Linked DNA regions of Oryza sativa Japonica Group. The protein of the gene in region 1 interacts with the protein of each later gene in a biochemical or structural test. Links are inferred from orthologs where the notes say so. Each region holds a gene or a part of one and is shown on either strand. Other genes may lie near its edges. The genes, in order: WD-40 repeat-containing protein MSI4 and histone deacetylase 6.

Evidence for each region.
Region 2: the proteins of WD-40 repeat-containing protein MSI4 (region 1) and histone deacetylase 6 form a complex in vitro, tested with the Arabidopsis thaliana proteins (2 studies listed by BioGRID). The link is inferred for Oryza sativa Japonica Group from reciprocal best matches to the Arabidopsis thaliana genes FVE and HDA6.

Annotation. Positions count from the first base shown.
Region 1 is NC_089035.1:30,088,184-30,092,110, forward strand, and holds the start of WD-40 repeat-containing protein MSI4, read left to right. Parts: upstream 1-1,148; 5' UTR 1,149-1,186; coding exon 1,187-1,497; intron 1,498-2,230; coding exon 2,231-2,294; intron 2,295-2,473; coding exon 2,474-2,560; intron 2,561-2,936; coding exon 2,937-2,999; intron 3,000-3,245; coding exon 3,246-3,311; intron 3,312-3,414; coding exon 3,415-3,516; intron 3,517-3,710; coding exon 3,711-3,786; intron 3,787-3,927. UniProt on the Arabidopsis thaliana protein: Core histone-binding subunit that may target chromatin assembly factors, chromatin remodeling factors and histone deacetylases to their histone substrates in a manner that is regulated by nucleosomal DNA.
Region 2 is NC_089042.1:15,633,836-15,636,676, forward strand, and holds the end of histone deacetylase 6, read left to right. Parts: coding exon 1-163; intron 164-254; coding exon 255-397; intron 398-824; coding exon 825-915; intron 916-999; coding exon 1,000-1,134; intron 1,135-1,680; coding exon 1,681-1,704; 3' UTR 1,705-2,119; downstream 2,120-2,841. UniProt on the Arabidopsis thaliana protein: Responsible for the deacetylation of lysine residues on the N-terminal part of the core histones (H2A, H2B, H3 and H4). Might remove acetyl residues only from specific targets, such as rDNA repeats or complex transgenes.

The DNA.
Region 1 (3,927 bases):
TTAGGCATGTCCTAAACTTAGAAGGGCAAATATATCTTTTTTACTTGAGAGTTAACGGTCAACAGGCGAGAGTGGCATGAGAGGGTGCATAAATTTGGACCAGTGGCATATAGGGGAAGAGCCATTTTTCAGTGGCATACAAGAGATCCGACCAATTTTCAGTGGTATATAAGAGATTCTCTCTTCATGTTGTCTCTAGTCCTCATTAGTTGGCGACTATTGATTCAGAGCCCCCAATAGTTGGCGTGTTGATTTGCCGGTTCCTCACTCGATTAGTCAGCGATTATTAATTCAGAGCCCCAATAGTTGGTGTGTTGATTTGTTGGTTCGATTAGATCTACCACTTCAATCACAACTATTTCTCTGTGCTTAATCACTTTTCCGCAATATTTAGATTGAATCTTATCTTATTCTTGCAATGTTCACTCGTTTGCATTGCAGGGATCATCAACCATATGTCACGGTTAGTATGACATCGTTTGTGGTGTACCGATTTGCACGGCGTCCTCGACTTGCTCTGGTTGATAGCTACGTCACAAACGTCACACTGATCAAAGTGAGAGTTATCCTCTCACCAGAAGATCAGGCCATGAGAGAGAGCGTCATCATAAATAAACAAACACAACCTTAGTACAGATAGCTTATGCTACCATCTACTACCTCCGTCCCAAAATATAAGCATTTTTAGCTAAGAACCTGTGCTTATATTTTAGGACGGAGGGAGTACTATCAATATCAGTTCTATCTCAAGATATACTGGTTTAGTTTTTCGGACGTGTTTATATGATAGCTGTGAGTGTATGCCCTGTTCTTTTCTCCAACAACTTTTGGATTAAATTTTGGATACTCGTGGCACGCTTTTCAAACTGTTAAACGATACGTTTCGTGTGAAAAGGTTGTTCTAAAATATCAAATCAATCCGTTTTTTAAGTTTGTAATAATTAAAACTTAATTAATCACACATTATTACCACTCCATTTTGTGTGAAACACTTAATTTTAATCTTCATCTTCATCTTCAGGAGATTCAAACACCACCTTTATTTTCTTAAAAAAACCCAGTTCTATCTAACCGACATTTTACGCCCAGATAGAAATGGGCCTATCCCACACTATTCATCCGTTGGCCCAATACAAATGGGCCCAGCCCACAGCGCCGCATTTGTTTCGACCGCTTCAAGCCTTGGATGCTCTGCTCTGCCCTTGCATTCGGGCACAAGAGGGGTGGCATCTCTGAGCGGGAGCCACGCGCAAGGGTCCAGAGCAAACGCTCCTCATACGACAGAGAGAGCGTGACAGCGCGAGGGGGTTCGGAGGCGGGAGCGGGCGACGGCGGCGGCGGCGGGCGCCAGCGAGCGGCGAAGGGCGCGCTGGAGATGAAGGAGAAGGGGTCGAGGGCGGCGGTGGACGAGCGCTACGCGCAGTGGAAGTCGCTCATCCCGGTGCTCTACGACTGGTTCGCCAACCACAACCTCGTCTGGCCGTCCCTCTCCTGCCGGTAAAATTCCCCGCATCTCCTCCCTTCCTTCCTCCCTTCCGGCGGTTTCCCGCGCGTCTCGTAGCCATCGTCCTCCGTGGAGATCCATTTCGGGCTAGGGTTTTTGGGGGACTGTATCTAGGGTTTTAGGGCGTGGCTCTGCTTCGGTGACTCCAGATCTGTCGCTTGCATGGTGATTTGGCGGGGATGGCAGTGGGGTGAGGATGTCCCGGCCCCGGTTGGGATGTTAGGGTTTTTGGGACGGGGAGGTTTTGTGGGATGCGACTGTTTGTTTGAGTTTGGTGGTGGTGGTGTGTGTGTTTTTTGGGGGGGGGGGGGTGTGGGTCGATTCTTCCGTGTTCATGTAATGCTTGCTGATGCGAGTCTCCCTTCGAGATTTTATGGCTAGTGGGTTGCTGTTCGTCCATTTCTGTCTATATAGTCGATATAATAGGGTCGATTCTTCCGTGTTCATGTAATGCTTGCTGATGCGAGTCTACCTTCGAGATTTTATGGCTACTGGGTTGCTGCTCGTCCATTTTTGTCTATATAGTATATAGTCGATAATATGATTACCTGTTATGTTTTAGAGTTAGATTGTCATGCTTTATCCGTGCCTGTTCTGTGTTGAGTTGTGACATATCATCTTGTAATTCGGTTTAAAGCTGTGCATGTTGGATTCTGTCGTGCTTTTGACCTTCAATAGTGGTTCTGCAACTAACGATTTGATCTTCTCATCATTAATTGTTAACAGGTGGGGACCCCAGTTTGAGAAGGCTACCTACAAGAATCGTCAGCGTCTTTACCTTTCAGAGCAGGCAAGTGCTCCCAAAATAAGTTGTTCTTTTTCTTTCTTTTGCTGTAGGGATGTTTTGAAGCTCAAATTTATGGTGAAGTTTGAATTCAGATATGCAGATGGGTCTTCTTAGCTAGAAAATTTATGTATTCTTAGTTGGATATTAAACTTTAGCATTTGCTAACCATGTGATTGTTGCAGACGGATGGGACTGTCCCTAATACTCTGGTTATTGCAAATTGTGAAGTTGTCAAACCAAGGGTTGCAGCTGCTGAACATATATCTCAGGTTTCCACTTTTTTCAGTGACCCATTTGAGTTTGTAAAATGCAGAATCATGCTACGTTTGAGATGAATGGACATAGCTGGTCCTTTTTGCAGATTTAATTGACCCGAGGTGTCAGCTTCCCATCTTAATGTAATCATTAATCAGAGATGTGGACCTGTAGTACCAACTGATAGTTTACTATGCCTAATCTGTCTTATTAAATTAATAAAAATGTCATAACTCGAACATCTAGATTTGCATGACTTCAGTCTTGTGATAGCGGTGTATGAGACTGCCTTACATTGGCCTTAAAAAGACCTGAATTAGGAATTCCTTGCACTAACTTGAAGTCTGTTTACAATGAAACTGACCGGATGTCTCTTATTTTTTGTTGCAGTTCAATGAGGAAGCACGATCACCTTTTGTAAAGAAGTACAAGACTATAATTCATCCAGGCGAGGTACAAGCTCATTCAATCGTGATTGTTGATTTCTCTTTCCTTAACTTGAGGATCATTGCCTCTGTATGAGATCTTCCATGTTGTGTGGTGCATATATTGGCTATAAACTTTAGTGGTTTAGATGGCTTGCTTTTCTTTTGGAGATAGTGCTTGAGATGTGTCTTTTATTTGTTTAACCCCGTGTCCCCGTCAACATTTATTTAACCCAATCGTTGATGTATTGTTTCTGTTTTACCATGGACACAGGTGAACAGGATTAGGGAGCTTCCGCAGAACAGTAAGATCATTGCCACTCATACCGACAGCCCAGATGTATGCCTAGAACTTTGTAGTGCTGCCCGTTTCTTGTGATCATCAATCCCTAAGCATTTCTGTGATGGATTTGTAGACTGAAGGCTTTTTTGTTCATTTGCAGGTTCTCATTTGGGATGTCGAGGCCCAGCCAAATAGACAAGCTCAACTGGCACAGATGGAGTCTCGTCCTGATTTGGTACCACCTGACTCTCGCCCTGATTTGGTATCTTTTCTTATTTTCATTCTCAACCTATATCATTTTGAGAAGCTGAAATTGCAGCTTCATCTGGTGTATCTGCACACAAGTCCTAAGAAACTGTGTTATGGAATCATAGAATATATTGAAAGGTTTTCATCTTTCATAGTTCGAGTTCCCTTTTCACACTTGTGGCTTAGTAGCTTAAACTGTTTTGACAGATATTAAGAGGACATAAGGATATTGCTGAGTTTGCGCTTGCTATGTGCCCAGCTGAGCCATATGTGTTATCTGGAGGTTAGCAATATTTTGTCTTCTTGTATGTTTAAATCTTTCTAGTTTATACCCCTCACACCTTTTGTATTTATTCACATATTGTTCTGGTGTCAAGACTTTTTTGTGTGCGCATGTGTGTTATCCTTAACAATTACCCCTAAA
Region 2 (2,841 bases), on another chromosome or scaffold:
TGGAGCCGACTCTTTGGCTGGAGACAGGTTAGGTTGCTTCAACCTGTCTGTGAAAGGTCATGCAGACTGCCTCCGTTACCTTAGGTCATTCAATATTCCTATGATGGTTTTGGGAGGTGGGGGTTACACCATCAGAAATGTTGCTCGCTGCTGGTGCTATGAGGTCTTACTTTTATCTCTTATTTCATGTACAACTGATTGAAGTTGTTGGTTTCATGCTGAACAGTTCTGATGGAATATGGTTGTTGCAATAGACTGCAGTTGCTGTTGGAGTTGAACCTGATAACAAGTTACCTTATAATGACTACTATGAGTACTTTGGTCCTGATTATAATCTCCATATTCAACCCAGAAGTGTGGAGAACCTGAATTCGACTAAAGACCTGGAGAACATAAAGTAAGTGGACTGTTTCTATCAATATGCTGAATCATCTTTTTTTTTTCTCCCATAAGTTGGCCCATCAGCTTCTGTGTAGGGTGCCTCAAGCGATGTTTTTTAGTAGTTTTCTCAGCATGTCATTTATAATGGTGTTTCCATATTCACTATCTATACTGTTCAGCATATCACCATTGCTATAAAATGTTGGAATGTCTCTGAAACTTCACACCTTCAATTAATGTTTCATTTTTTACCCTGTATGAATTTGTGACTGTATCTTTTTGAAGTGTGTTCCCATATTCTGTAATTTTCAAATGTAGATCATGTGAAAACCACTTTCATCGCTCCTTGCACTTTGTTGCTAGGGTCCATTTTCTCACTGCTTCTTGTGTTCATTTCCTTTCTGTAGTGGTTAATGTATTTTTGTCATTTGACTGATCTGCAGGAGCATGATATTGGATCATCTCTCAAAAATTGAGCATGTTCCGAGCACTCAGTTCCATGACAGACCATCAGATCCTGAAGCTCCAGAGCAGGTTACTCTCTTGGCATAATTTTGTATTATTCTGTTAATTCGTTTTCTTGCTTTGTTGTGCAAATTTGAGAATGTGCTCTTGTAGGAAGAGGAGGACATGGACAAGAGACCACCTCAGCGCAGTAGGTTATGGAGTGGAGGAGCTTATGAATCTGATACAGAGGATCCTGACAACATGAAAACTGAGACCAATGACTTATCTGCCAGCTCTGTCATGAAGGTTTGAACTTATGCTTATGAGAATCTTTCTTCCATCCTATAGTGTACTTTGTTCTTGAGAATTTCTAGTTGATGCCGTAATAGTGATGAATATTCTCTGTTATTGACGTTAAATTTTAACCATCTAACTAATGAATTAAGTTTAGATTGACAAAGTGAGCACTCAAGCATATACTCTCCATTCCAAAATATAAGGCACTATCATCCTTAACCCAAAGACCAAGAAACAATTATTTTCATCTCTTCGTTTGGATCACTCTAATAAATACAATTCATGCACCTAATAAGATTAGAGATCTTGAGGATAAAGGATTTAAAAAACAATAATTTAGTTGAGAAGAGGTGCTAGTTAATTATTTGCATGCATGCACGCCTTGTATTATGAAATATCTGAAAAAAAAATGGTTGTGCCTAATATTTTGGAATAGAGGGAGTATATAGCAATAACAAATAAAATAGCTTGCAGCTTGTTATGGCAAAACTCCGTATGTTGCTAGCGCTATTTTTGGAAGATCATAGTGCCTAAAGTTCAGTGTTATTCGTGCAGGATGAATCGAATGATGATTCCTAGAAGAGATCCTGCGATTCTGGTTCTCAGCACTCCTGATTTGTACGTGCATGCTGAAGAACAAGGAAAGTATCTGAAGATGTCTGATATCTGCGCCTGACCATTTTGCAAAACAATGAATGCTTTTTTGGGTGCTTCTAACTTTCAAGCATGTCGGTAATTCTGGTTAGTCGGCGGCACATCCTCAAATGGTTTGTGCCAGAGGAGTGTATGCTAGAATGATTCTTGCGCTGATATGGATTTATAGTTCTTTTATGTTCATACTTCTCCGATGTGTTGAACTCATACCGCAGATCCGCAATCAGTTCCCCCTAGCCTGTCCAAACTTATTTTTTGTGGCATTTGAAATCCATCTGAACCGCATTGTCATTCATATTTTGATTAAAGAATGCCTGAAGGGAAAATTAGTTCAAGTGAATTCCCAGCATAGCTGCTGCGGCTGCTTCTTTTTTTTTCTTTATTTTTTGAAATGAAACTGCTATTATAGTTGTCGTTGGAAGGCGTGTTGAACTGTTGATTGTCCATTGTTGGTCGTTGGAAGGCGTTGTCCGTTGTCGTTGAAAGGCGTGGTCATTCGGATCAGGTGTAGTTGGGGGCAACTTCATGCATTCCACTGCCCGCTGTGAGATCGAATCTAAGGACATTATTCATTCGATACTATAACAGCTACTGTAGGTCACTGTAGAAGCGTTGCTGTAGCTATAATCTGGTCCGTTCATCAAGAAAGCTGATGGATAATAATTCATGTTGTAGCTTAACTTGCAGTGGACTGTGTTGACGCAAAACGTGTCCTCTGCTAACACACACTGAACACCTTGTGTGTGATTTGCAACGGCACTAGAGATGTGCTGCCGCAAGGGATAGATGCTACCAAACAATCACCTGGAAGGAACCTTATCAAGATGAATTCATGTTGGTTTGTGTTAGGTTGTTTGGTATGGTAGTTAGGACATTCTCATAAAGATGAGAGACGATAAACAATGTACTACCACGGGGATACATGCTAGCAAACAATCATCCGGGAGGAATCTTGTCAAGAGACGATAAGCAATTATAGGATTGGAGGGTGAACATACAGAGGATAAAAGAAGAAAGATAGAAGTAGGGTAAGAAGATATATACATGTAGGCATAGTATATT